Rhinolophus ferrumequinum: one gene and its partners. The protein of the gene in region 1 purifies or fractionates together with the protein of each later gene. This does not show direct contact. Links are inferred from orthologs where the notes say so. Each region holds a gene or a part of one and is shown in the gene's direction. Other genes may lie near its edges.

Region 1 (7,130 bases):
GGAAAGGACCAGAACTGACAGAACACACCTGGCAGGTGCTGAGCTTGTTCTGAGAGCTAAGGGTCCAGAGCTATTCCCCATGCTGTACAATCCCTGATGTCCTGATGCCCCCTGGGTACTTTGTTCACCCATTGCCCTTTATCTGAGCACCCCTCAGCAGCCTCCTACATGCCCTTCAAATGCCAGTGGTGCTGCCCAACTAGGAGATCTCTCAGTTTGAGCAGCGGCAGGAGGCCTCTGCCCAGCCTGAGTCTCCAGGCTCCCTCCAAGACCTCACCTAGCGTTAGCTAAATCAGGGGTCTGCACACCTTTTCTGTAAAAGGTAAGAGAGTAAATATTTTAGACTTTGCAAGCTATGTGGTCTCTGTCAGAACTATCAACCATGGCATTACACCACGAAAGCCCCAAAGACAACATGAAAACAAATGAGCCTGAGCATGGCTGTGTTTCAGTAAAACTTTGTGGACACAAATTTAAATTTCATATATTTTTCACATGCCAACATATTATCTTTTGATTTTTTTTCCAACCATTGAAAAATGTAAAAACCATTCTTACCCATAGGCCATACAAAAACAAGCAACAGGCTCACTAGCTGCAGGCCATAGTTTGTCTTGTTTCATGTCGCCGCCCTCCAATGGCAAAAGGTTGGGTTGGGTCTTTGAGGCCAGGTCAGGAATAATGGATATCTAGGGAACATCAAGCATTGCAAGTACTACTGGGAGTAGGATTCTGGAGATCGGGGGAGGGGGGGTTTAAACCATCTTTAATAGCGGCCAGTGGCTTCTCTCACCCTCAGTCAAGGTCAGAACTTCTTAGTATCGCATTTGGGGCCTTTTCTAAACCTGACTCCTGCCTGCAGAGTCACTTTCAGCTCTTCCTGCCTTCCTCAGTGGTTCGTGGACTATGGTCCCTCTGTCAGGGTTGTGCCTTGTTTTTCTCTTAGACTTGCACTGTGGCCTGGCTAGCCATAGCCCTAAGCCTGCCCCCTTCCCTGGGCTGAGTTAGGAGTCTCTGACCTGCTCCCATACTTCTATGATTCACATTTGGCCTGGGGCAGTCCCCAGTAGCTAAAGACTCCCTGTCCTTACGCATTTCTGCATCCCCAGGGGAGGCTCACAGTGGGGTCTTCCTGAGCATCAACGAGTGGGAGAAGACATCTTGGAAGGCTTCAGAAGAGACGTTGGAATGTCTGTGTTGGTTCAAGATTTGAGATTTTTCCCATTAGAAAACCTGAGTAGTCTCTGGTCCTGATAGTGATTCACAGGAGTGATTGCCGCTCTGCTTTGGACTTGTGTCCTGAGAGGGGAGACAGCTTTCCCACTCCATTTCTGTAGCAGGGTTGCAGCAAGGGAGTTAGCGTAGCAAAGGCTCTGAGCTGACTGACCCTGATGTAGTCCCTGAAGCCTTCCCTTCCCAATCCCTAGAATATGCAGACTCACTTTTACCTCTTCACAGGACTGTGAGATGTTGTGAATGCTCGTTGTGAACTAGGAAACAGATTTGTAATTAGCTAGGTCCCTTCTGCCCAGAGGGAAAGGGGGTGTGTTAAGGGACTATGCTCCTAGTTTGAGATTTCGATCAAGGACAGAGACTCTTGGAGCCTTCCTGGAAGCAGCACAATGCCTTTTCCCATACTCTATTACATCTCCCAGCCACAGGCTTCTCGCAGACCAGCATGATGGGGTGTAGATGGGTCAGGAGAGATGAAACTGGGGTGTTGGTGGCAGGGGTGATGAGGTCTGGGATGTGAGGCAAGGAAAGCCAGGGTCCTTTGTTCTTTGGAATTCCACACACGAACAAAGAAAATATGAAGGAAGGAAAGAAAACTGGGCACCAAGGCCGGCGACAGAGGACTTCAGGTGGTGTTGGGGGAACACCTCCCCAGCATTGCAGGGACAGACAGAGTGGGTCAGGAAGGGAGTTGATGGACGTCCTCTTTGGTGAGTCACAAGGTCACAGAGCAGGGAGTGGCCATTCTTTCCTGGAGAGGCTATGGGTCCAGCAGCCTTCCAAGATAAGGCCTTAGAAAGGCAAAGACAGTTTGCTAGCTGGAGGGCGTGCAAAGTTGCAGAGCCGGGTGAGGCAAGGCAACCTGCAGCTCTCCGGGCATAAGGCGTCACAGCTGAAGGAGGACAACTTGGTTCTGGACGTCTGAAGTGGGCGCTATGGGCCAGTGTCTTCATGTGGTCTCCAAAAGGCCCTGCCATTCTGCAGGTCCCCTGGAGACCCTCCCCTCCCCAGGTGTAGGTAGCTGCAGAAGGAGGGTGAAAAGAAACAAAACCAGATTGAGAAACAGCTCTATGTGCTTACAAGGTGTGATCAAAAACTACGGTGAATGTTTAAATTTAAAAAAAATTATTACAGTAAAAGACACATTGGCATTAATACCCCTTGCTTTGAACACACTTATCCCGTGATTCTGGCCACTTTCTGGAGCATTTCTGGAAGTCCTCTTTGGTGAGCGTCTTTAGTTGCGCTGTTGTGGCTGCCTCGATGTTCTGAATCGATTCAAAATGTTTTTCTTTCATAGTCATTTTGACTTTGGGGAAGAGCCAGAAGTCACACAGTGCCAGATCCCGTGAATAAGGTGGATGAGGACACACCATAACGTCTTTATTTGACAATAATTGCCGTATACCAGAAGCGATGTGTGACACAGAGCGTTGTCATGATGGAGGAAGAAGACAATGGCAATGTGTCTTTTACTATAATAAATTTTTTTCCTGTTCGGTTCCCCCTTTCCACCTCTCCCCCTTCCAGTTCAAGCCGTTGTTTATCAGTCTAGTTGTGTAGGACACAGCTTCCTGGCCCATGCTGGTATTAAGAGCCTTGCGCTCCCCCCAGCTGAGGCAATGGGGTCATCAGTTGGCAGCTCACAGCGGCTCATGCCTGCTCAAGGCAGCCCAGCTCCAGGGAGAGCCGTTGTTCACAATCTTAGCTGTAGAGGGCGCAGCTCACTGGCCCACGTGGGAATCCAACAGACTACCTGGGCATTAGGAGTACAACGCTCCCACCACCTGAGGCACCTGCCAGCCCCAACACATTTTTTTAAATTTAAACATTCACTGTATCTTTTAATGACACCTCGGTATGCAGGGAGGTAACACGTCTCTGCATTCCACACTTGGTCAGCAACAGAGGCTGGGTCCCAGCCAGAGGGAGAGTCCCTCCCGAAGCGACCTATCTCGGCTCGCTCCAGGCAGCTCCTGCAGAGCAGGGTGCTGTGTCATCGATGAGGGACAGGAGCAGTCAATCACTCCCTTTGGGCTCCATCCCACCCAGTGCCAAGCTAGGTGGACCCGGTAAGTTGGATAGAGGGTCCCGCAGGCGGCCTTCTAGAGTACAGGGGATTGGAGCAGCCCACCCTCTCCCGAGTGACTCTGGTAGAATTGTCGCGGCGCCACAGAGACACCGCCCAGGCCGCAGCGGGCGAGGCGGAGCCTCGAGGGAAGAGGGTGGGGCGAGGGCGGGGCCGCCAATTGGGGTCTGGAAACTGCTGGAAGCGTCGCAGTACTGCCGCTGTCTCTCCTTCCGCCGCAAAGAGTCCCTCCACCAGTCTGGGCCGGCGCCACGCCCCGCTGCGAAACGCTGGCCCTTCCCCCCGCCCACCACCCCACAACCACCGGAGAGCCGGAGCCGGCGGCTGCCCGAAGTTCAGCCTGGAATTCTGTACCGCCCCAGAGAAAACCCCTTATCGGGATGTAGGAATGTGCAGAGCAGATTCTAAGAGGGAGGTCCATCTAGACTGGGAGCGGAGGTCGGAGTGATTGGCCACCTCCATCCGCCCCTTTTTAGGTGTCCCTCAAGGCCAGGAGTTAGCAGTGGAGGGGCCTGCCCCACAGGTTTTAAGGGAAATCAGTGGGACCCTCGACCCTAAATCCACCTGGATCATCTAAGCATTCCCACCCAACCTCTAATTCTGGTGGGGTCACGCCCGTGAAGTGCGGAGATGGGGATACGTAAGCCAATAAAAAAGTGTGCGCCCCTTGCAGACACTGAGAACCACTGCTCCCGCTCTTCACTGTCTCCGCCCCGATTTTGGCCATGACGTCAAGGTGGGCGGGCGGCAGCAGGTGCGGAGCTGACAGACATCCTGCTTTAAGGCGGAGGGATCCGTGGGAGGGCTGTACTTCGCCCTATATAGAGCGACTAGGGGGTCACACAGCCCTTCTCTTGAGTTACCCCCACGCACGCTTTCAGCGGTGTGTGAGCCGGTCACAGTCGGTGTCCACCTTTCTCCCTAGTACTTGCATCTCTTCACCTTTAAGGTAAGGCCGCACTTTTCTCTTTCAGCCTTTTCTGTCTCTGAGCGTATTTCGTCCCTCTTTTCCCTTCCAAAGGCCCGATTTTGTTGTGCTGGGCTGCCTTTGGGATGCCACAATTTCTAGGTGGGTGGGAGGGGGTTCTCGAATGGAGCTTGTTTTGCCTTGTATGCTTAGGCGGCGGAGTTTCCCCCGGGCAACGACTAGCCTTGGCCGAGGTGGGCCGCGGAGTGGCCTTGGGGTAGTGGGCTACTGCACGTGGTGGCTGCGCCGGCCCGGGACGCTGCCATCTTTGCCCCTCCATTTCCGGACCGCGGCTACGGGGCGCTAGAGGGTCCGCAAGGGTTGTGGGTGTGCGCGCTCGGTGTGACTCAGCACAGCCTGGTGCTGGTCTGGCTGTGCCACCTGTTTTATTTAGACGCGTTTCTCAAGTCCGTGAGGGTCTGCGATAAGGAACGCTTTGGCCCTCTACTGGCCCACCGTCCTTCTAGATCTTTCCTGTATTCGCGTGGAGGAGGGGAGGAGGCGGGTTCTGGAAGATTCGTGGGCTCCTAAACCCCCGCCCTTCTCCGAGAGCTGAGATTGTTCTGGAAGCTTCTGGAGCCCGGCGCCCCGCCCTGGTGCCCGAATGCTGGAGCGCAGGGAGGCTGCGCGGCGGCACCCCGTTTTCGCGTGGCCCTGGCCGACGCATGTCCGGTAGTGACGAGGGTCGATCCGGTAGACCACGGCCACCATCTTAGTTGTGTTTAGGCCTACACTTGAGTCACGTGAGCCGAGGGGTCACGACTGTGCTTTTGTTTTATCGGCTTCTTTGTCTTAATAGTCCCCCTCCCCTCCCGGCGGGTATCCCACCGATCTCGGGTTACCCTCCCCTACCACGTGAGTCAGCAATCCCGTGCTCGGGCGAGGTAGGAGGTACCTACTTGGGAAGCAATTTCACATTATTGCCATTAACATAAAACGAGTGACCGGGTTTTTCTCCTTCACCTGGACCAAAAAGAGGTAATAAAACTGTGGTTAGTGATTTCTACATTGAAACGTGCGTGTGGATTTCCTGGAATTCTTAACTTGAGATACGTGGGTTGGGGGCCAAGATTCTGCATTTCTAACAAGGTAACCCGGTGATGCTGAGGCTGCTGGTCCGTGGAACACTTAACAGTAGTTTGATTTCCAAAAAACCTGCTTTTCTGTTTCGTTGAAGAACGTGTTGGCTTCCCAGCCCCCAAATGGTTTGCGACTAAGGGTGCAGTCTGAAATCTTGAAGAAAGCAAAGCCTCTTGGGGAATGGCTAGGTGGTACCTCACTCAGAGCAGTTTGAACCAACTGTCTCCCAGTGTTCACTGTGATTGGGGTTTGTTTTGGGAGTCTTAAATTCAGGGCCATTCCATTCTTTTGTAATTCTTGACTCTTCTTATTTAGATGCCTGAGGAAGTGCACCATGGAGAGGAGGAGGTGGAGACTTTTGCCTTCCAGGCAGAAATCGCCCAGCTTATGTCTCTCATCATCAATACTTTCTATTCGAACAAAGAAATTTTCCTTCGGGAATTGATCAGTAACGCTTCTGATGTGAGTGCTGGGGAAGGGGTGTTCGGGGCTGGATGTGTTTTTAGCAATCCGGAAAAGTGATGAGGGGTGGTTTGGCATTTTTGTGGGGCCTGCTATTGAAGGGGATAAACCTAGCGTTCCAAACAGGTTTGTCTTACTCTCTGGATAGATGGGATAGTGTAACTAACTGTATGTGGCTTTGAAACTTCAAAGGGTATTCAGAATTGAAGCTATTGAGGAGTAAAAAATGAAGTTTTTTATTGGATGAAGAGTTGTGCTTTAAGAAAGCAGCATTGTAAAAATAAAATTTGTATTTCCAGGCCTTGGACAAGATACGTTATGAGAGCCTGACTGACCCTTCCAAGTTGGACAGTGGTAAAGAGCTGAAAATTGACATCATCCCCAACCCCCAGGAACGTACTCTGACTCTGGTGGACACTGGCATTGGCATGACCAAAGCTGATCTCATAAACAATCTGGGAACCATTGCCAAGTCTGGTACTAAAGCATTTATGGAGGCTCTTCAGGTGTGTGGTATTTTAGCTAGGCACACACCATCCGTGTTTATCTAATGTTCTTTGGCTTGCTGTGGTTTTCGAAATTTGTTTTGACTTTTTAAAACTTTTTGGCAGGCTGGTGCAGACATCTCCATGATTGGACAGTTTGGTGTTGGCTTTTATTCTGCCTACCTGGTGGCAGAAAAAGTGGTTGTGATCACAAAGCATAATGATGATGAGCAGTATGCCTGGGAGTCTTCTGCCGGGGGTTCCTTCACTGTACGAGCTGACCATGGTAAGCTGGCTTAACTGTAAAAGTGTCTGGCTTAGAATCCAGGGGAAATTTAAATAGACATCTTGAGTGTCCTACCTGTAAAGCAGTTTCCTTTCACTACAGTTCTACATTTAGTTTCTTTTTTTTTTTTTTTAAATGTTCCATTGTGATTGACTTTGTAGGTGAGCCCATTGGCCGGGGTACCAAAGTGATCCTCCATCTTAAGGAAGACCAGACAGAGTACATAGAGGAGAGGCGGGTCAAAGAAGTGGTGAAGAAGCACTCACAGTTCATAGGGTACCCCATCACCCTTTATGTGAGTATGGGCTGGAAACTGTCAACACATGATGTCTGCTCTGGAGAATTGCGTGGTTCCTGGTTTTTTGTGATCCCTGCTGCTCTGTACTCTGAAACTATTGTCTTTGGTACTTTCAGTTGGAGAAGGAACGAGAGAAAGAAATCAGTGATGATGAAGCAGAGGAAGAGAAAGGTGAGAAGAAAGAGGAGGATAAAGATGATGATGATAAGCCCAAAATTGAAGACGTGGGC
Region 2 (7,029 bases), on another chromosome or scaffold:
TCGATTTCCTTCTTGAGCAGCTCCACGCGCTGGAAAGACTCTCGGCTGTCTGTGCTGTAGACCAGGACGTAGCCGTCAGTGCAGGAGAAGCAGTGCCGGGGCAGCTCGGCCCCATCTCGGAGCCCCCGGGTGTCATAGAAACGCACCTGCTCCCGCACCCCCCGGTCGGTTTCAATGGAGCCCACATAGATGTCTTCCTGCGTCTCAATCATCTCAGAACCTGGGATAAAATGAGGAGAAAACTTGTTTGTAGGGAGGAAGGAGATGGGAAATGTGAGTGAGTGAGCATATACGTGTATATCCTGACAGGGTGACCAGACAGGGAAAGAAAGGAATGTGGGGGCCAGAGACTGAGTCTGGCAGGACTGGAATGATTTGGGGGAAGGGACATTAATCACATGTTCATACCCTGCCAAACAAAAGTGTGACTTGGGGGCATTCCTTCCTCATATCAGATACTGGACTTCCTTCCTCCAGATCTCTATGTTGTAGGGCTGGGGGGCGTAATGTAAATTTTACTCTTTTGGGGTACAAGAACCACCAGGAGCAGCTCTTAGCCTCTGTGTGTTGTTATCAGATCCTGTTCGCTATTCTTCACCTTCTATCATTCCCCTACCCCCAACAACACTCACCCACTACATGGTTCCCGTACAGAAGCTGCTCCAGGATTGACGTTTTGCCCACAGATGCCTGGCCGCACACGACCACCTTGCAGCTCTTCCCCATGCTTAGCCTTCAACCCTGAAAAACAGAAGCACACTGGGTGAGGTGGGATGAAAACAGAGGGCAGCACTCCCATAACTGAGAGCCCCAGTTCTGAGCTGCATGTGTAGCCTCAGGGACTCAGCACTGTCCCGTGCTCTAGTCAGGGTGTATGTCAGAAGTTTTGTGCCTAAGTCCACTACTGGACAGGGAGCTGTATCTTATTCACCATTGTTATTCCCAATACCTGGCCAGTAACGGGCACAGAGCAGGTGTTCAGTAAATGTTGCCATAAAGGGGAGAGTGGCTGGTTTAAATGAACCACTGGCCAGGTTCCTGTGTCCACAGGACGCGGAGGACATGGAAGGGGGCTAAGCCTCAGCTTCCTCTTTTTAACTACAACCCCACAGAGAAATAAGCAGGAATACTATTTTATGTGGATCTGTCTTAAGCTACTCTTCCTGGAGAGAGTGAACAAATAAGGAGGATATTTTTGCTTTCCTGTACGACTTATCTAAACAATAATTAATTCCCTATAATTCCTAGTTAAGTCCACGGCTAAGACGAAGACCATCAGACAAGAAAGGAGGAAGGAATCTATGGGGAAAAGGCTCTGGAAAACAGGCAATTTTTGCTGCCCTTGCACTGCTAGACCCAGATGAGAAAGCTCAGACACAGAAACCCCTGCTCGGACACAGAGGAGGTCCCAGGGACCTTTTTTTCCAAGGCATTCCAAACACAGGTTTCCCAGGAGTCCCAGACAGATTCCCCCAAAGAGCAGAGACACAGAGATCATTCCCAAAAGGGGTCCCAAACAGAAACCTCTCCAGAGGAAACTCCTGATACAGATCCTCCTCCCCACACCCGAAGGACTCCATAGACTGAGCCCTGAAATTAACGATACCCCGAGAGAGACAGCCAGCGGGGCCTCCGCCAAATTTCCCCAAGAGGAGACCCCCAGAGGGAATCAAAGGCGGGAAAGATCTGCCACCTAAAGCGACCCTGACGCGGTGGCCGATTCCGGCCTCCCAGCTCCGTACCTCCCGGGGCCCTCGCAGCACCCCGGCCAGGCCCCGAGAGGAGCGCCGGGATCAGGGGAGGGGCAGCACCGCCGCAAGGACACCGTTCTTCCGGGTCGATTCGGGCTTCCTCAGGACCTGCCCTCCCCCCCTCCCCGCCCATTTCCGTCTGGCAAGACGAATTCCGGCGGCGGAGAGCGGGCGCCGTCCGCACAGCGCCCCCCAAAGGCCCTAAAGGCAAATGACGGCCAGGATCGGGGCAGCTGGTGCACAGCGGAATCGTAAGGTTCTAGGCTCCCTACACTCTAGGTGCGGTTCTGGTGTGTCTGATGCCCAAATGTTCTTTCCGTGAAGGCTACTATAGGATAGGAACATTTCATTTATTCAATCGTTTATTCAATCGTTTATTCTAAGTACCTACTCTATGCCAGGTACATGACAACGAACCTGGAAAAGGGGGCGCATTAGACATGGTACCTGCCCATTAGAACGGCACCGTCTAGAGGAGCTAGACATCTCAACCACCAATTAGAATACAACATGGTAAGAACTATTACAGAGCTGCTATGGGAGCACCGCAAGGGGGCATTTAACTTGGGGGCCTTGGGCACCACAGAGAACTTCCTGGTGGAGGTCATGTCTGTATTGAGGTTTGAAAGGCTTGGGAGGAAAGGGTGGAGAAAGCGCGGCAAAAATCATGGCATTTTCTGGAATTACAAGTACTTGGGTTCAATATTGATGGTAGAAAGGAGCCAAATGATCAAAGGTTTTGTGTAGTAGGCCAAAAAGTTCAAACTGTATCCTAACAGCCAGGAAAGCTATTGGTAGGTTTTAGTGAAGCGACATCAATTTTTGCTTTTAAGAAGGTCACTCTGGCAGAAGACTGAAGGTTGGAAAGAGATGAGACTAGGGGGCCAGTTAGGAGACTTTGGCATATAGATCTGGATATATAGATCTGGAACTCAGAAGAGCAGTCTAGGTTGGAGATAGCAACAGACTTGAGAGTCATCAACAAAGTTAAAGCTGTGGGAGTAGATGAGTTGGCATAGATGCAGAGAACACAAAATGGGAAGATGGTGAGAAGCTGCCTCCTACATTAGACTGTAGACTGAGCCATTGGCAGACAGGGCAGGTGGTCTGTGAGTCCGTGCCCTCCCAACCTAGAGTAGGGAGAGTAAGCACTTTGGAGAGCGCTGGATAAATGTTCTCTCTCTTGCAACCCAGCCTCTCCCATTCTCCCCTACCCGATGGTGGGTGTGGTTTCAGCTCCTTTGGCACTCTGATAGGCAGAGACCACGCAAGCACATACTGTTTTACTGGGGACAACAGCATATACTGTTTTACTGGAGGAAGAAGGTAGATCCTTTTTAAATTCCCTTGCTCCCATCTTATTTTAGTTTCCCATAGTTTTAAATTTTAAACCTCAAACTCTCTCAATTTAACCTCAGGAAACCTCAATTTAATTCAAGCCCACAAAAATTATTGGTTTGGGTGAGGTTAAGTACTACAAAGACGATTAGGCTGTGTCCCTGCCTTCTATGAGTTCCCAATCCAGACTGCATTCGGAAAGACAAGCGTGGTGAGCAGGGAGTGTATATGAGGGGTGGGAATACTGAGGGCACTGGGGCAGGGACCTCACCCCGCGAGCTGCCTTATAAACTCGAGGGCAGGGTCTGGGGCTCTGTGCCACTGGGGCTTAATGCTGAGATGGCACTCCCAGGCGGCTGACATGAAAGGAACCTCATAAAAGGGTCAGCGTCATTAGGGTGATGAACCAGGTGGTGCCTGGAGATCCAGAGAGGATGAAAGGCGTGGGGTGAAGACGCCCTGCGTTCCCCTAGCTTGGCTGGGCAGGGCTTCCAGGGGCCGATGAAAGCTAGGGGAACCGGGCTCAAAGTGTCTCTTCTTGCTTTTCCCAGGAGGAAGCTGTGGACACACTCCAAGATCGGGAAGGTAGTAGTGTGGGGAGCGCTCTTTCCCTCCAGAGTCTTGGGTCACTGGGTCCCCACCCAACTCAGACTCCCTCGAGACGCTACAGGATTGGAAGTTGCTATGGCAACGAGGTTTTCGGCATACTGAGAAAAGTCAAGGCTAGAGAGGCGACCCCTCCTGTAACCCCCTTTCGACCCACGGGTAAAGTGGCGCCCCCCACGTACAAGAACTGTCCCTGGGCCCCCGCCCCGGCGCGGAGATCAACGTGGACCTCCGGGGGCGGGAGGCCGCTCTGGCCCGAAGCGGAGCCTCTCGTTGGTAGACGGGCCCGAGGGAGCCCCTCTGGGCGCAGCGTCTCCGAGCTGCTCTATGCTCCGACCGGAAGTGCTCTTCACCGCCGGCCTCCCACCCGGCTCTCTGGTCTCGGCGGTAAGATGGCGGCTGCCGCGGAGTGCGATGTGGTAATGGCGGCGACCGAGCCGGAGGTGCCCGACAACGCAGAAGCGAAGAGGTAACGGGGTGGCAGTGTAGTGGAAGGGGGGAGCTTCAGCTCCGTGGCTCCGGGCAACCGGTCCCTGCCAGGATGCAGCCCCTAGCTGTTGAGGAGATGCCCCGCCCTCCGCAGACCCCCCCCCCAATCTGAGATCTAGTCCGGATGGACCCCCTGAAGGGGCGCTCTCGGAGGTCGGTCCTCCTCTCCCGCTTCCGCCTGGCCGGGTTGCTGAAGCACGGACGGCCTCGTTCTCCTGCAGAGAGGAAGGTCCTTATGGTGGAGACCTGGTCCCTGAGGGTATCTGAGGTCTGTTGCGGGGTGGGGGAGGCGGCGCGGCGACAATGTCAACTTCCTTACATTGCCTCTTACCCCCCCGCCTTCTCTTATTAACTTCTGTGCATTGTTGTCTATCAGCATTTAGCATCTCCACAGCTTGTGCTCTCTTTACTCGTTTTCGTCCGTAATTGTATCTCAGGGAGCACTAGCCGGGGTCTGAGGTGATTGTGTGTCTCCATTGTTGACCTGGTCGCCACCCCCTCCCTGTTAACCCAGAAGTCGAAGATGATAGAGAAAGAGGAGTGAGGGGCTTGTTTCACGCTGTACACGTCAAACTCCTCTTCCTCCATCCCTCCGTGTACCCTTCCGAGTTACATCCGCATTCTTCCCTGGACTGGGCTTTCTTATTTTAAGCAGCAAGGAGGGCAGCACCTTGGGCGCTATTGGCACTACCGGGCAGCCGCAGGGGCTCGAGATTGCCAGTCCCGACTAGCCAAGGCAGCTGCTGAGTGAGTGTTTTTCGAGAACACTCTGGATTCTGGCTACAGCTAAAGCAGGTTGTGGGAAATGGGGTTGGAACACAGTTGTGGGTAGTCATACTTGTCCTAATCCTGAAGCAACATTAAGGAAAAGGTTCTGGAAGTTTGGAGCCCTTATCAGCACAGATTGTCTACAATCCCCTCAGTCTCCTTCCTACAGATTTCATGTCTTTGTACCAAGGCCATTTCATTATGTTTTCAATCTGGGTGATTTGAAGTTTTGATGCATGAGATCTGAAATCAGGATTCTGAGATTTTTTTTTTTTTTGCTATCCAAGTTAGAAACATAAGTTAGACACGTAAGAGGTATTCAGTGAGGCAGAATGAATAGTTACCAAGCTTAAGGATAGTTACTGCAGCCAGGGTTCCAAATTCCTGACCTGTTGGGAGCTGAGAGGCTTGACAAAGTATAGGTCCGTGGGATATCAGAGAAGTCAGGGTACCAGAGTCTAGTCTTTCTTATTAGTTTTGAGTCTTCACATCTGTCCTCCTTCTTTCCAGGTATTTAGAATTCAGCAGCATCAGCTTCATTAAGGAACTGCAAAATGGGAAATAAAACTGCCCCCAACACAGAGCCTAAATTAATTGTAAGGATTTATTTCATATGGAAACAGTTTGGGGTTCTTTGTGCTATTATTAGGGTCTTGGGCTGTTACATAATTGAAAAAAACTCATTTACTCAGTGTAAAGCTGTGATGTAGGGATTGTCCCTAATTTGGATTCCTGTTCAAAGTCCCCTATCTAAAGCAAATCCTTTTCCTTAAAAAATAAAATTATGGCCTCACAGGATATTCTATCATAAAGTAGTATATGAACCTGAGCATAGAACTGGTAATGCGACAATGTGACCACATTACACAAAAGCATATGATATTTGGTAGCAGTACAACCAAATAAGAGAGAATGTTGACTTACATTAACTGCCTTATTTCATGAAACTTAAAATGTCATTAATTGTAAAATGCACAATTGTTTTTTCTACCACTAAGAAAAAAGAACTGTAATTTAAAAATAACTATAAAAAATGCATTCTTACCAAATAGACTTATATGTTATACATATTTATATAGATCTCTTTTAGGCATAATAAGACATAGGTGTTTATCATATACCACTTAGGTGAACAAATCAAAAGGAAAATATAGCGAAGTTAAAAAAAAAATCACGGTTTGACTTTCTGCCATCCTTCAGAAGGTAAATGTTGGGATCTTTAGTAAGAAAAAGCCTTGTTATGTATGGTTTTCCAATGCTGAAAATGGAATGGGAATTTAGAAGTTTTGGGGGAAGGTTGTTTATATTTCTCACGTATCTTGGAATCCTATGTAGCCATAGCAGAGGGCAGAGATGGGGACATCCCTTACAAGTGCCCTTCACTATCTGGTTTGGTTTGTCATTTGACCAAGTCATGTCTCTCATTACAGCCCTACTACCAGTTCACTCGGGGACACTGAGAGTTGATGGGCCTCTTGGGTTTTTGTGAAGCTCAGCAGGGATTCCTTCCTTCCTTGCTTGTAGACTCAGGGACATCCTGCTGTGCTACTAAATTGTTACAGTTCCGCAGGGGGCAAAATGAGAGGAGCTTTCAAGACACTAGACCTCATGATGACAGCATTTTAAATGGCTACATGTTTTATTTCCTTAGCTTTAGTATCTCTAGAGAGAAAAGAAATGGACTTCATTTTTTTGCCTGTCACTCTGGCAAAGTTCTTTTTCTCCCATAGCAGCTGAGAGGCTAAAATAAAAAATGTATTAGTTGCCATTCCAAAATAGATCAGCATTCTATACATGGAGATTATTTATTTCTCTTTGCCCACCAGAAAAGAGAAAGTGATGTGGGAGCCAGAGGGCTAATTTCAGAGCCTTTACATTTCAGCTGATTTAAAGCCTTACATTTTCCTGGGAAGTTGCTGATTGCTTTACCTAGTATATGAATACCTTTCTTGAGTGAGGGCTCTGGTCACATTTCTTGGTCTGGGGAGCTGCTTGGTCTCTACAGGTCTGTATTATTGTAAAATTGAAGGATTTCAAGTTGTTCATGAATAGAGGAAATACTTCTGTGTCTCAGCGT
Region 3 (7,570 bases), on another chromosome or scaffold:
CTGGAGCTGCGGCGGCTTTAACCCCTCCCTGGCCAGCTCTGGCCACCTCCACACTGCCCTCCTTCTGGGCCTGCCCCCAGGGCCTTCCCCAGCCTGACTCCCCCGCCCCCCGCTCCCCCAGAGCAGCCTGCTGTGCCAGGCTCTGGCGGGAGCTGGGGGCCCCTCACCCCGAGCCTGGGTTGGAGCCCAGGGGAAGCCTGAGTCTTCATCTCCCTTCCCCCACGCCTGCTACCACTCTCCTGTGTCTACAGACAGCCCTGGTCTCCTTTTTTTGCTCATCTGGGAGCAACCACATTTTCCAAACCTAAAGTCAGGATTTGAGGTCTAGCGGTCTGAGTGAACCAAAGGGCAAAAAGGCTAGATTGTTTGGACTGGGGCTGTCACAGCACATCTAAGAAGACAGCCTCTAACTGCACATGATTCATGGTGTTGCCCTTTTTGCTCAGCCTACCAGGAAGCTCAGAGCTAAAATTAAGGATCGTGACAGTAGCTAGTGGTGGCCAATGGATTTTGGAATATTTTCTCTTGTCCTTTTTCTTTAAAATTCCATTTCTGTTATAATGAGCAAATCAATTGTGCTTTTTTATTTTAACCCTCTTCAAATTTTCCAAGAATACATTTGAAAAGGCAGAAATTACCCACAATCCACAACAGCCACAGCCTCTCTCAAATTTGCTGTTTTTTCTTTGGGGGCTGGGGATCAGCCCAGCCCAGCTCAGCCCGTCATCGAGAGGCCCCCCTGCTCCATCCTGTGGTGGCTTGCCCTGTTCCCGGGACCCCGGCCCTGTGCCCTGCAGTGTTCCTGGAAGGTATGGATGTGCGCTGCAGATGGTGAGCTGCCAGGGGGAGATCGAGCAGACCCCCGGGGGTCCCAAGAGCTTCCTGGAAGAGATGGACAGGGAAAAAGGGACTTGAAGTTCCCTTGGGGCATCAGCGTCCCCTTCCCTTCTCTTGGCCTTGGGGCAGGACAGAGAGAATCTCCCACCAGCAGCGCTCTCTGTGGGCCAGGCACTCATCCAGAGGGGAGCTGATCAGGGGGCTCGCCTACCTTGGCACTAGCGCTGACGGGCACCTATCGGGCATTGTGGCAGCCACTGCCTGCCAGGAGCTCTGTGGATAGCAGGTGGGATGTGGATTAAGTCCACAGCAGGAAGGACACCGAGGCTGAGGGCACCTCACTGCCATGTCCCCAGCCTCAGCCCAGGCCTGGCAGGGAGAGGCAAGGTGGGGTAAACACAGGGCCAGCTGCACCCAGGGCACACTGCATGCCGGCTCCCCCCCCCCCGGCAGCCCTCTTGGAGCTCGAGCACAGGCCCCAGCAAGCCGGGCCATCTGGCTCTGACTCACCGACCAGGCTGCGTGGTGCTGGGCTGCCCTCAGCCCCCTGACTCTCTCACCTTGCCCTTGGCCTTCCACACTTACCTTCACTCAGGAGTCCTGGGGGTGTGGGCCTCAGGGAGACGGGGTGGGTGTATGGGGGAGTGGGCAGGGAGGTGTGAACACTGAGGGGTCTAGCAGTGTGGGAGTCCCCTGCAGCTGGCTGGCTGCCCCTCAGACTCCTGCGCCACCACACGCCCTCAGCGGGCTCTCTTCACTCTCGTACCTTGCTCACCTACCTCAGTTGGGCAGGTGCCAGACGATACTGCAGAGGGTCCTGGGGAAAATGCTCCGTCAGGGGGCTGTGGTGAAACAGTGGCTACTCGCGGCTCATTTAAGGAGAGTTGCCGAAATCTCGGACCTGTGGCAAAGAAGGCACCATGAACAAGGGGCCTGCGCCCACGTCATGGGAAGGCCTGTGAAGCATACCACACTCCAGGCAGCAGCGGACCTGGGAATAGGAACTTTATGTTGTCAATGATAATAAGAACAAGGGTGGACAAGTGGGTAGTGACGCCCTTGGCAGGCTGACAGGGGCCGCGCCTGGACCCTTTAGAAGTAATTTGGCCAACTCAGCCCAGAGCCACAAAAATACTCCTGACCTTTGACCTAAATGCCACCACTGAGCCAATGGAGAGGCCAAATGCAGGGACCACTTCGTTTGTGGGCGGGAACACCAAAGGGACCAGCCAGCACGAGGTGTGTGGTGGGCAGAATGGGGGCCTCCAAAGGAGCGGTCCTCAGCCTCAGCCTGCCCCCGGAACCTCACAATGCGACCTTATTTGGGAAAAGGGTTTTTGCAGGGGTCGTTAAGGGAAGCTCTTGTGATGAGGGGATCATCTTGGAGCATCTGGGTGGGACCCACCTCTGATGACAGGTGTCCTTATAAGTGCTGGGTGGTCATGTGACGATGGAGGCAGAGGCTGGAGCAATGCAGCCAGAAGCCCAGGGATGCCTGGAGCCCCCGACGCTGGAAGAGGCAGGCAGGAACCTCCATAGGGAGCCCAGTGCTGGACACCTGGATCTGACTTCTGCTTCCGCGACTGTGAGAGGAAATTTCAGCCAATCGGTTAGTGGTAATCTGTCATAGCCATCTGGGAAATGAAGACAGGGTGTGAAGAACTGAGGGTCAACCCAGGCCTATTAGTGGAGGAAGAGGGGGCTCACCACCCCTACAGGCCCGAGGGACGGGGAGAGGGGCAAAAGTGGAGGTGCCCATCCCCTGCCTCCCTCTGCTGCTACTGGCCATGCCCATTGGCGAACGCCACATAGAAGCTGGAGAGCAAGAGGGCCTGAGATACTGCATGGGGCTTGTGGTGGGGCTGGGATGGCTGGGAGAAGGAACAGGGCGGGGGGAGGCACGTAGAGAACAGCTCACACAGGCCCACACCCCACCACGAGCACTTCTGCTAAGGTCACAGTTCTGGGGGCAGAAAGCAGAAAGCTACAGAGGGATGGCTGCTCACCTCTCAGAGACCAGGAGGCCAGGGAGGGGCTGTGGGCGCCGTCCTGGGGAGGGACGTGCCAGAGACAATGCAGAGCCCTTCCTGAACCTCAGAAGAGCCTTGGAAGGCCAGGCCTCAGGTGCCGACAGCTGGCCCCTCCTGCCTACCCCACCCAGGCTGATCCTGCTTCACCTGCCAGCTCTTTCCACAAAAAAATGGGTGTGTGGGGGGGTCAAGCCCAATCCAGCCCCCCCCACTCCGAGAAAGGGGGCCAAGGGGACCAGCAGTCCACATCCATCCTGGCATACTAAGTTACTGATTAAGTAACCAGGTAATAGATTAGAGCAGAATGTGTCACTGTGGCCCCGGGGATGGCATATCCTGGAGGAGGACCTAAATGTGGGTGTCCTGGGGCTATGCACTGGAGGGGTCTGGACAGCCCACTTACAGCTCAGTGGGCCCCGCTCCGTCTGGGGTACATGGTCATAACCAGAGCAGGCAGTGATGGCAGCCTGTGGCAGAGAGGGGCTGATCTGCCAGGTGGGCACAGAGGGATGGGTGTGAGGGCTTCCTGGCGGTGGGGCCCATCTCAGGCCCTGAAGTCTGACCTCCGTGGCTTCTGGCAGCAGAGGTAGCACCTGAGATGTGGGTGGCCCCAGCAGCCAGTCAGAGGGGCGTTTATTGCTCATTTGCCTGGTGTGCAAACCGAGTCCTAGAAGCCACAGCCAGGGGGGGCCGAGGCACTTGGCTGGTGCCTCTGAGCCATGCCCAGGTGACACCCTCTCGCCTCTTTTGCTCCTGGAGGGCCTCAACACTTCTGGGCTTGCCTGAAAGTGGAAGAGACCCCTTGTGAAGTTGCGCTCAGAAGCTATAGTCACATGGGGTCCTCCCCAGCTCAGCTCTGCACCACCCTGCAGTGCCCCGGGGCCTGGCACATCTCAGGCCAGCTCAGACTTTGCAAGCAGCTCCCCTCGTGATCCTTCCTCAGAGCTCTAGAGTTGGCCCCCCACCTGGGGCCCCTAGCCCTTGCTCTCCATTCTGATGCCCGTCAAACACCCAGTCTCCAAACTTGTCACCTAGGGATGCAGGATAATGACTCCCTCTGGCAGGGAACTCAGGCAGCTTAGCTACATGTGCCACAGGTGCTTAATAAATGCAGCAGTGAGCCCACAGCTTCTGGGGTGCCGTCCTCTTGCACTCTGGCCCCAAGCAGACAGGCAGAGCGGCCCTTCACCCTCAGGCTTTTGCTCACAGCACCAGCCCCCACACCGTCCGGCGCTCCTGCACCCGAAGACCGGCTGCTCACATGTCTGGGTTCAGCGTGGGCAGCACCTTCTAGGTGAAGCCTCTCAGACATGCTTCACCCACCGAGACCACACTGAGCCCCCAATCCGCGGCCGGGTGGTAACCGGACTGCGCGCTGAGCAGAGGCCTGCTCTTGGCCTCCCTGGGCGCCTAGCGGTGCGAACCGAGACCTCACCCTTCAAGCCCCGGCTCCCACGCCCTCGGAGACCGCCCGGCGCCCCCGCCCGGCCCCGCCCGGCCCCGCCCCCTCTAATCCCCTCCGCGGGCGGGGACGAGGCGAGACGCGGCCCCGCCTCCGGACCGCCCCAGGGGAGGGGCGTGTCTCCGCTCCCGAACGCGCCGGGGCGGGCGGGGCCGGGGCGGGGCCGGAGGCGGGGCGCGCGCGGGCCGGCCCCCACTGGCTGCAGCGCGCCCGGCCGCCTAGGCTCAGTGCGCGGTGGCGGCGGCGGCGCGGGCATCTGGCGCCGCGCGGTCCTTCTCGGCCCGGCGCACGGACGCACCGGCGAACCGACGGCAGAAGGGACGGGGCGCAGGCGCTGGGCCGGCAAGCAGCGAGCCGAAGCAAGGGCCGCGCGCAGCGAGTTGGGCGCCGGCGGCCGCCAGGTCGGTGCGCGGGGGCCGGGCAGGCGCGGTGGGGTCGAGGTGGGCGCGCGGCGGGGCCAGAGCGCCCGGCGGGCCGGGACCCCGAGCAATCTCCATGGCGAGGCCCGGCCGGGGCGCGGGCTTCCCGCTCTGGAAAGTTTGCGGCCGCCGCCGCCCTGGGAGGGCTCAGCAGCAGCCAGGGAGGGAAGGGGGGAGGAGGGAGGGACCGCGGCGGGAGGAGGCGGCCGGCGCCAGGCGGCCAGGGTAACGAGCTGCCTGCCTCCTCCCGCAGACTCCCGAGCGGCGCCCTCCTCCCGCCGGTGCCAGAGCGGGGCCATGGGGGGCAGCATGCCCACGCGCTCCGCCTGAGAAAGCCGTCGCCCCTGCCCCCGCGATGGTCGCCCCGGCTTGCGTCCTCGTGTTCTGCGTGGCCGTGGCGGTTGTGACCCGCGCTGCCTCGGGGCCCCAGGGTGCGGAGCAGCGCGTCGTGCGGAGAGCGGCAGGTAAGGAAGGATCCGACGGGCACAGGAGAGGGGCCTGGGGCCCCGGCAGGCAGAGGGCATCGCGGCCGGGGAACGGACGCCTGGGTGGTGGGGCCGCGGATCTGAGTGGGTCCGAAGGCGCGTACTGGGCTGGCACCGGGAGGCCAGTGTCCGGGTTTCTGCCGCCCTTCCTCCCCGGCGATCGTGGCCAGAGCTGGCGCGGCAGTTTGTGGGGCGCCTGGAGCCGCAGGGCTACCACCCAAGTGCGAGGCTGAGGCAGGGAACTGGGCACGAGGTGGCGTCCTCAGCTCCCGCCCCCGCTCTTCCCTAGTGGGCGCAGTCTGCCCCCAGGCGCCATCGGGAGGGCGTGGGGGCTGCGTCTCCACGATTCCTATTGTTGTTCTGCGGGTTTTGCAGTGACGGAAAGTTTCTATTGTTGGTGCTGTTCCCCCAACCCCTCTAGGGCCCCAGTTCATGGCTAGCTTCGGCCAAAGCGAGGGGCAGGACTTTGGAGGGAGGGTATGAGAGTGCGTCAGCCCGCGGCCCGGCCCTTGCCACCCAGTAGCCTGCATGACAAGGCGACACCTTCTAGTGCCTCCGTACCCCCACCCTACTCTCATGTCCAGTGGATGAAGGTGTGTTCTCCCCAGAAGTGCGCGCCGAACGCCAGGGGGGACACCAGGAGGTGAGAGGGCGGACGTCCGAGGGACGTGGAGCCGCGGACCCCAGTTGGTGGTCAAGGTCCGGCGGGACGTCGAGGGTCTCGAGGAGGGCTCCGCCCGCTGAGCTAGGGCAGCGGAGGGGCGGAGCGCGTCTTTGCTCCAGGCCCCGCCCCGCACACGCGCCGCGGCCCTGGAGGTGTAGCGCTCGCCCCCAGCGGAGGCCGACCGGGCGATCCCGGTATCGCCGCACCTAACGCGCGCTGCCAGGCTCCGGGCGGCAGGGCGGAGACGCGTGGTCCGGCGGCCGACCGCAGGGAGCCCGCCCCTTGGGGACAGCCAACTCCTGGGCGCCGGCGAGTGGGCTGTGCGCACCCTGCCCCCTGCCCGGCGGCCGCGCGGAGGGAGGCCTTAGCCCGGTGAGCTCACGCCCCACCCGGGCGGACCCGAACAGCCGCTCCTTTGTACCTCGGCGTGGCTATAGACGCGTATTGACGGCGGGCGCCGGGGCAGCCTCGCGGGGAGGTGTGAGCGCAGCGGCTGCGGGCGCGCCGTGCCAGCGAGGCGGCGGCCGCCGGCAGGACACAGGCAGATGGCGGCCCGCCCCTCCCTGCGGCCCCCCCCTTCTCCGCGCCCCTCTCTCCGGCAGCGGCTGCAGCCTCCCGGAACAATGTCATTTTTTTATGAATGAAAGTGGGCCCAGCGCTTGAATGTGCGTGTCATTCAGCGGCGTGACAGAGGCCGTCGGGAGGTCAGCGCGCGCTTTTACGCCTGCTCGGGCGGCCCCCGCTTCCAGGGGCGCCGAATAGGCGGCCGCGGGGGGAGCCCTGCATTAGCATTCGCATTCAGATAAAGATATTACTCTCTACGCCCAGGGAATGTCAACTAGCTCCAGGGGAGGGGGCAGCGGGCGGGGCTCCATACCCTCTCCCGGACCCCCTGCTGCGCGCGGGGGTAGTGGCCTCCTCCATCCACCCCCCTTCCCGGAACTGGCGGTGACTGCGAGGCCCGGTCCTGGGACGCAGAGCCTGTGGTGCCCCCACCGGGTGCGGGCGTGGGTAGAGCGATAGGAAGAACCTCCAAGGATGCGGGAGGGGGCTGGGCGCCTTGTCCCTTGGCCACAGCCTTGGCGCCCCCGCACTCCCGTCCCCGCAGTAAAGGTGGTGAAACAGGTAGTGAGTTGATAGGTCAACAAACTTAATCCAGTTCCTTAAAGAGATGGGCCGGGCAGTAAAAATACAAAGGCCTCATGAAATTTCCAGAGGTCCGGCCTGGCTGGCACTTTCCCAGGATCATAAATTATGGAGCCAGAGCTGGCCAGGGTCAAGGACTCGGTGGGAAAGGTGTCAGCTTGGGACTGCCCTGGTCACCTCAGGCCCTACCAAGGCAGGGTCCTCCACACGAGGCCATGTTGTTGGTAAGGGTCTGGGCAGGGTCTCCTACCTGGAAGGGAGGTTGATGGGAGCAGCAGGACGCTGCCACCACCCACCCAGCCTGAAGGGGTCTCTTCAGTGCACTATTTCACCATTTCCCGGAAGGCATTGGCTGCAACCTCTCCCACTACCTCCTCCACAGAGCTGGACTTTGAGCCTCTAGGGCGTCTGGGTGGTTCATTAACCTGGGCTGAGCCCCCGGCTGGACTTGTGGCCTCTGAGCCCCTGCACTGAGCCCATGAGCGCCCCCTCCCTCCAGGGCCTCAGGTTCCACTTGGGGCCTGTCC
Region 4 (7,552 bases), on another chromosome or scaffold:
GACCCATGTGGGGACCTGGTCTTAACAAGTGGCTCCTCCCCTCCCCATAACTCAGCTCTGGAAAACTTGAGGCACGACCCAGAAGCATCGGTGTGCATCCACGCGGCCCAGGCCCAGGACAACATCCTGGCCAGCTGCTGGCGGAACTCCTGGCCACTGCCCCATGAGGACTCCTGGGTATGTGAGCCGTCTACCACCCACTGCTGGAGCTCGAGCTGTGAGAACCTGCCCACTTCCCACCAGCGGCGCTCCTGGATCATGCAGGCACTGGGCTCCTGGAAGATGTCCTTGAAACAGTGATGTCCCTGAGCCCCCAGCCCTCAGGGGAGGCCACAGGCCCAGCCATGCTCACTATAAATGCTGCGTGGCTTACCTCTCCCTTCTGAGTGTTTCCTCATGGGAGATGTCCCAGGGCTGGAGCAGTCATTGCTCTGTGCGACAAATCTGTGAAAGGAGCAATGCCTTTGTCGTTGACTCAGTTGACATTTATGGACTCACATAGGCTGTTTGTCCACATTTTATAAGTGGGAAGCTGAGACCCAGGAAGGTGAAGCTGCTTGCTCAAAGCCACACAGTAAGTCTGCTGGAGGTCCCACAGGGAGAGTCTAAGAACAAAAGGAGATGATGATTCAAGTGCCCCCTGGGGGAGGAAAAAAGAGACTCCTCTCACCCCATGACATCATGCGTCTCCCAGAACCTTGATCTCTGAGGCCCACCTTCCAGTCTATGCCCATAGATGTGGCAGCCTGCCACTCATTCGGGCAACATTTATTGAGCAACTAAATTGGGCCAGGCCTGCTCTGGGTGCTAGAGATACAGACATGAATGAGACCCAACCCCAGGCCCTGGGCAGTTTACGGTCTGATGCAGTGGTTCCACGCCGGGGTTGATTTTGACCCCCAGTGAATATTTGGCAATGTCTGGAGACATTTTGGGTTGTTACGACTTGGGGAAGGAAGTGCTATTGGTGTCCAGTGGGTAGAGGGCAGCAATGCTGCTAAACATTCTACAATGTACAAGAAAGCCCCCACCGTGAAGAATTATCCAACTCAAATAGTCGTAAGTGCCAGCGTTGAGAAACTTTGGTCTAATGGAAGTGTTAGACATGTAAAGACACCAACAGCCCGGCAGCTCAGTGTTCTGATGAAGGAAAGCATGGGAGCTATGGAATCCCGAGGAGGTATAGAGACCAGCTGGCTGTTGGGGTGTCAGGGAAAGTTTCCCAGAGATGAGATTCTCCCTCCAGGGGATTTGAAAAGACGACCACATGGTGGGCGTGTATGGAGGACAGCAGGGCACATGGGACCAATGCCCAACTGCAAATTGGGAGGTGCAATGGAGCCCAAATGGGAGGGGAGTGTTAAGGAGGGAGACTTCATCCAGAGAGCAGTGGGAAGGCATGATGGAGAGGGGAGAGGCAAGCAGGGAGAGAGGTCTGCTCTAGAAAGCTCCCTCCTCATGGGGATACAGGAACTCCTAGGCACGGCTGTTGCGAGGGGAGATGTATGCAGCCGTTTTGGACAGGGATCTGTCTCTTTTCAGTCATATTACGTTTACATATACACATGACCCTGTGATTCCACTCATGGGCACATATATATCTCAGGGAAATCTTCTCACAGGTCCATAAAGAGAGATGTATGAGGAAGTCTATCCTCATACAGCGTTACTTGTGGTGCCTGGGAGGGAGGCACCTGGGTATGCATCCTGGGGGGTGAGTGAGCGCGGTGGCAGCAGTTAGAGGCAGTGGGGGTACATATAGCACCACGGATCGGAGCTAAAACCTAGTGCTGAGTGAAAAAAGTATATTAAAAATGTATGCCCAAAAGACATTGCATTTTGCAAGAACACTTACATGCTGAAAATACACATTAAAACACATTAAAGTGGCATAAAAGGGAATAAATGAAAAAGGGAGCAGAAGAAAGCTCACTCTGAGTGGAATGGAAGGGTGGTGGCCAGGGGGTTGTGTGAACAAGAGCACAGGCAGGGAGACCTGTGCTCAGCGGCTTCAGAGAAGAAGGGGGAGACGTGCTAGGCTGCGGTGTGGGATGGAGAGGGTGGCCAGACCTGTGTGAGATGAGGAAGGAGAATTTTTCAGAACCTGGTGGTTGATGAAAGAAGGGAAAGAAGATCAAGGCACCAAGAATGGTGCCCAGGTTTCTGGGTGGATGACTGGGCCAGTGGTATCCCCCCACTGAGTGATCCCTCAAACCAGGAGCAGGTATGGGGAGGGATGAGTCCAGTCTGGACGTGATGAGCTTGAGGAGCTCGTGCGCCATGTTAGCGGAGATACCCACCAGGTAGCTGGCTGCATAGGGGTGGAGCTCAGCAGAGGGATCTGAGATGGAAACAGTTTGGGGATTCCTCTGTGTACAGGGGTGAGGTGAGATTCCCTGGGCAGGTGTGTCGAGTGGACGGAGACATAAGCCTGCAGAACATCTCGATTTAAGTTCCTGGTAGGGATGAGGATCCCATGAAGTTGACCAGATAATCATCCTCCAATAAGTGGCAGGCCAAGGCCATCAGGATCCGGGGCCAAAGAGAGAGTAGGAAATGGGGGTGGTCCTTTTGCATAACCTTTTTCAGTGCCAGGAATGGTCACAAGCATCACCTCCGTGCGTTCTCACAGTAGCCATACAGAGTTATGGGGAGGGCAGGCTGGCTTCATTGCCCTCAACCGACAGATGAGGACAGGGCTCAAAGACGGTGGGCCTTGTCTAAGGTTACAAAGGGAATCAACATAGGTGTGGGTCCCAAAGGTCTCCCACCCATATCTGAGCTCTTTCTACTCAGACACTCCTGCTTTCATTGGCCAGAATCCAGGTCTAGGTGGTGGCCTTGACAAATGACAGCTGCCATATTCCGGGTCTGGGTGATCTTGAAGCTCAACAGAGGCTGATAGGCTCAGATACTGGCCAAGGCCCCCAAGTAGTTTTGAGTTGGAAGGGTCAAAGAGCACTGGGCAAGTCACTTCTATTCTCTGAGCCTCCCCTATAATCACCTGTAAAATGGGTTCTCACCTCCCGGGGTTTTCTAGGAATCAAATGAAAAACTGGAAGTAAAAGGACTTAGTAGGCTTTGTACTCAAGAAGGGAAAAGATAATGAAGAGGAGAATAAGAATGGGAACCATGGTTCGGGAGCAGACTGGAGGAAGAAGTGTGGAAAAGGAGGTTTGGGTGTGGAGGGAAGGGACCAGGTGCTCTGCTGCACGTGGGTGAATTAGAAGGGAAAAACCCAGTCCAGGCCCTCCATCTGTCATCCTTAGCCCTGTGGGCTCTCTCATCTTCGTAGCAAATAATAACCACGCCTGCCAGACCCACTGCTGGGCTTCAGCTCTCTGCTCTCCCCAGGTCTCTCATCTGCCGCTTTCTTGTCAATCTCTTAACCCAGCCTCCCCCCTCAACCTTTCACCTGGCAACCTGCCCTTCCTGAGACAAATCTGCCCTTGGGTCTTTTCAGTGGCTCACTATCCTCTGCAGGATGAGGCCAAGGGACAGTCAGGCCCTCTGGCCCCTGCCTCCTTTGCTGGCCTTACCTCTTAACTCTCACAGTACCTAGCATGCGGCTCTGTTGCACACCTCCATGCCTCTCTGCACATGGGCGGGCTCCCACTGCCTGAAATGCCCAACTTCCCTCCAGCACCCCCCCCACCCCCCGCATCTGCAGAGGCCTACCTCCTCTCTGCTGTCAGATCAGCGTCACCTCTGTGAAACTTCCCTCATACCCGCCCCCGCCTGCTCCCCTCCTCCGCCCACCACCAGCGCCCACTCTCCTCTGTGCAGACTTGTAGGCAGCCCGGGTTTCCCTTGGTCTACAGCCTGGCTGCATTTCCTTCTTGGCCGGGATGTGAGCTCGCCCAGGCTGTAGCATCCAATGCAGGGCCCAGGAACCATTTGCTGGGTAACCCAGTGGCTGCAGGAAGGCACCCCTGGCCTAGAGACCTTGTTTCCATCTCAGCTGAGGGGAATAGCGGGTAGTTAACTTCGGAAATACCCATGTCTGATCACAGCACTGCTTTCCTCACAACTCTCCAAACGGTCCCATTGCACAGAACTCTCAGAATCATGGCCCATTATCCCTGTCACCTCACCTTCTTCCTCATTCTGCTTCACCCCTGCCAGCTCCCCTGCTGGGGCTCAGTCCTGCCTTTTCCCTCCAGGGGGAACGCTTCCCCCCAACTCTCCTCCTTCCCCCCCACACCCACACTTGCCGCTCCAGGTCTCCTCCTCTGCTTGGAAAGCCTGTCTACCCGTTTAAAGCTTTTTTCCTCCGATAGCTCTTGCTGCCACCTGACAAACTCTAACATCTTATGTGCTTATTGTCTGTCTCACACTACCTGATCAACTCCTAGAGGGCAGGGCTTTTATCTGCTTTGCCCACCGCTGTATACCCAGTGACTACAACAGGCCTGGAACCCAGAAGCTTAGGAAATATGTGTTAACTGGCTGAACAAACGAGCAAACGAAGTGATACGATAGTGTGGTATGGAGGAGCGTTGGGTTTATTCACCACCCCAACAGCATTCGGGGGGTGGGGCTGCAGCACAGCTGAAGGGGCGCGGGGCGGGGCAGGTGCTCTTCGGGTGGAGGGGTGGAGCCGGGTCGGCCACGCCCCCAGAACCGCGGAACCCGAGGCGCAGGGGCTGGCGCCGCCCGGAGGATTAAGGGACGGGCGCTCGCACCGCCGGAAGTTGCCGGGAGTTCTCGGCGCCCTGACAGAGGCGGGAGGGCAGAGGAGCGACCATGGAACTGCCTGAACTGGACGCCGTCTCCGACGACGCCATGGACTCGTTTGTAGAAAAGTTCCGGAGTCAGTCTTACCGTGGCCGCTTCCATGAGGACCAGTGGGAGGAGGTAAGCAGGACTTGGGGCTCCGCATGTTTGTAGGGGCGTTGTGCGGACTCCTGGGGTTCCCGGCGCGGCGTGGAGGCGCGTCCCTCAGCCCCCGGACCCGTGGCGCTGTCAGCAGTTTCCACTTGAGGGTTAAAAATCGGCCTCGAGATTTTGAGGGTCTTCTTAATCTGCCTGTACATTTAGGAAAATTGGTTTTGGAGTCAGACCTGTGACTCCACCATTTACTGGCTCTAATACGTCAGTTACTTAACTTCTCTGAGCGGTCTCCTGACTCTGTAAAATTGCCCCAACTGTAGCACCAATCTCGTAGGATTGCGGTGAAGATGAAATGAGATGTGGGTAAAGCTCCAGGAACATAGAGCACTCAATTAATGGTAATCATTCCCGCACGTGTAAGAATATGATAAACGAAAGAATCTTTACAGATCATTTTCCTACACTCTCATTTTACAGCTGGGGTACTGAGGCTGGGATAGGGAGAGATAGCCAATCACGATGATTTGCAAATCCTGACGAGTAAGAAAACTTTGATGTAGAAACATGGAGTTGGATCTACTCTGTGGAAAATCCTATTTGTATAGTTTGTTCTTGTCTTAACGATCTCTAGGAATTTGAAAAGATCCCCCTATTTATGAAGAAAACGCCATCAGAAATTGATCCCATGGAGAATCCTGACTTGGCTTGCCTCCAGTCAATTATTTTTGATGAGGAGCGATCTCCAGAAGGTATCTTCCATGACTCAAATTTTTGTTTTGTGTCGCCATTGATTTGAGATAAAGAGTGATCAGAAAGGTTCTGATCGATAACAAGTAGTAGTTAGCCTGAGCTAACTTGTTACTATTTATTCAACATATACTTCTTTGGATACCTATTAAATGCTAGCTAGGCATTGGGGCACAGGGATGAAGAAAACTTGCCTCAAAGATCATGCTCCAGTGGATAGCTAGATTGTTCTGAAGAATCAGGATAAACGTGTGTGACAAGTGCCAACACATAGCTGTATACTAGGTACTGCGGGAACGCTGAAGGTGGAGAAGTATTAGTGGGCTCACCGTGGATCAGAAATTTGAGCTGAATCTTAACAATTTTGTAGGCTCTTACTAGGGGAATTTGCATTCCAGGGAATAAAACAACATAAGCAAAAGCAGAAGTATAATTCTCTGCCTTTCTTCCGTAATTAAAAAAAAGTTCTTTCTTCAAGAACTGGGATAAGTATGCTTTTTTCCTTTATGCTTCTTTTTTTGTAAGCACTTAATAGTCTCCCTTCATAGGTATTTGGAATTGATTGTTGCATTAAGTACTCATGACTTTGTTTCTCATGTTGATACCTAGTTTTATAGTATTTTTTAGTTTTCCTTCCCTGTTGATTTTTTCTCTTTGGTTTATTATGTTTCATTGTTGAATGATTTAGAAACTATTTTTAATGAGCCTTTTAAAAAATAGGAAATAGTGATTATTTCTTCTCTTCTTTGCAGAACAGGCCAAGACCTATAAAGATGAGGGCAATGATTATTTTAAAGAAAAAGACTATAAAAAAGCTGTGATTTCGTACACTGAAGGCTTAAAGAAGAAATGTGCAGACCCTGATTTGAATGCTGTCCTTTATACCAACCGAGCAGCAGCACAGTACTATCTGGGTAATTTGTTCCATTATTTAGTGCTTTCTAAAGAGTTAACGTGATAAAAGCCATTATGATGGCTGGTGGAGAGTTTGAGTATCAGAGGAAGAGAAGCTACCCCAGACACCTACGGTAGTTTAATTGAACTCTGATGTTCCAGGTAGACTTGGTGAAAAGGGAAGCCAGATGGATTGTATAATTTAAAAAAAATTATTCCCATCCCTTACCATCGTAGATTGTATAATTTTTACTACCTGAACCAAATGAGTGACATCAAATACCTTAAACACGCATTGGTATGATTGGGATTTTTTTAGCCCAGATTCTGCTTGTCTCTCTCAAAAGAGTTTTTTTCCTGGCCTTTTACCCTCTTCTCAAGGATGCTGGAAGGATTAAGGCAGTAGAGGTCTTTGTGTGAGAGAAACTATTAATTTAAGGGAGAATTTCTCAAAGAGTATTCTTTGGGACCGTTGAAGTAAAAAATATTCTTTGGACAAGTAAGTTTGGAAAGTGCTGCTTTGTTGGGGATTTGCAACATTAGTATGTTAAGGACTCTGAGATAACCTACAGCAAAGAACCGTACCCTGTGATTCTCAAGTTTTGTAAGGCCCATTTTCAAGTAAGACTTACTAACATGCAGTACTTTTCTGCAGACATGATTTTGGGAAACATTGATTATTCGAGTGAGTAATCTTGGTCATAGTAGATCCCTGTTTTTTATCACAGATTTTAAGAGGACCTAGAAATGACCCCAGGCATTTCTGAGGGACTGGGAGAGAATAAGCTTTGTAGTCTAGCTAGGATGAGTCTGTTGGAATTCCATTTAAGCAGTTTCTCTCCAACCATAGTCTGCTCCAACTGTTTTCTCATTTAGCCTGTTTTATTAAAAAATTCTAAAAAGTAAGAGTGGTATAGAACTTTAGAGATTATTTGGGCTAACCAACCCCCTTATTTGTGTAAGCCCAGAGAGGGACCCTTTGGTTAGTACCAGAACCTGGACTAGAAACTCAGTCTTCTAACTTCTGGAGGAATACATGTTCTTCATTCAGCAAACTGAGTTCTTATTCTGTGCCAGG

The links.
Region 2: the proteins of HSP90AB1 (region 1) and DNAJC7 purify together in Homo sapiens (affinity purification with western blotting; 3 studies listed by BioGRID and IntAct, with this or other methods). This does not show direct contact. The link is inferred for Rhinolophus ferrumequinum from reciprocal best matches to the Homo sapiens genes HSP90AB1 and DNAJC7.
Region 3: the proteins of HSP90AB1 (region 1) and FGFR3 purify together in Homo sapiens (affinity purification with mass spectrometry; 3 studies listed by BioGRID and IntAct, with this or other methods). This does not show direct contact. The link is inferred for Rhinolophus ferrumequinum from reciprocal best matches to the Homo sapiens genes HSP90AB1 and FGFR3.
Region 4: the proteins of HSP90AB1 (region 1) and TTC4 purify together in Homo sapiens (co-immunoprecipitation; 3 studies listed by BioGRID and IntAct, with this or other methods). This does not show direct contact. The link is inferred for Rhinolophus ferrumequinum from reciprocal best matches to the Homo sapiens genes HSP90AB1 and TTC4.

What each region holds. Positions count from the first base shown.
Region 1 is NC_046286.1:13,470,979-13,478,108, forward strand, and holds the start of HSP90AB1 (heat shock protein HSP 90-beta), read left to right. Parts: upstream 1-4,111; 5' UTR 4,112-4,271; intron 4,272-5,131; exon of another isoform or gene 5,132-5,267; intron 5,268-5,684; coding exon 5,685-5,831; intron 5,832-6,130; coding exon 6,131-6,337; intron 6,338-6,442; coding exon 6,443-6,602; intron 6,603-6,763; coding exon 6,764-6,897; intron 6,898-7,016; coding exon 7,017-7,130. UniProt on the Homo sapiens protein: Molecular chaperone that promotes the maturation, structural maintenance and proper regulation of specific target proteins involved for instance in cell cycle control and signal transduction. Undergoes a functional cycle linked to its ATPase activity.
Region 2 is NC_046304.1:37,894,136-37,901,164, reverse strand, and holds the start of DNAJC7 (dnaJ homolog subfamily C member 7), read left to right. Parts: upstream 1-4,014; 5' UTR 4,015-4,087; coding exon 4,088-4,164; intron 4,165-4,433; exon of another isoform or gene 4,434-4,452; intron 4,453-7,029. Other genes in the region: NKIRAS2 (NF-kappa-B inhibitor-interacting Ras-like protein 2), read right to left, coding at 1-220, 633-726. UniProt on the Homo sapiens protein: Acts as a co-chaperone regulating the molecular chaperones HSP70 and HSP90 in folding of steroid receptors, such as the glucocorticoid receptor and the progesterone receptor.
Region 3 is NC_046288.1:87,185,519-87,193,088, reverse strand, and holds the start of FGFR3 (fibroblast growth factor receptor 3), read left to right. Parts: upstream 1-4,568; 5' UTR 4,569-4,730; intron 4,731-5,001; 5' UTR 5,002-5,103; coding exon 5,104-5,212; intron 5,213-7,293; exon of another isoform or gene 7,294-7,427; intron 7,428-7,570.
Region 4 is NC_046292.1:39,238,679-39,246,230, forward strand, and holds the start of TTC4 (tetratricopeptide repeat protein 4), read left to right. Parts: upstream 1-4,543; 5' UTR 4,544-4,746; coding exon 4,747-4,857; intron 4,858-4,863; exon of another isoform or gene 4,864-5,028; intron 5,029-5,464; coding exon 5,465-5,582; intron 5,583-6,332; coding exon 6,333-6,494; intron 6,495-7,552. Other genes in the region: MROH7 (maestro heat-like repeat-containing protein family member 7), read left to right, coding at 56-300.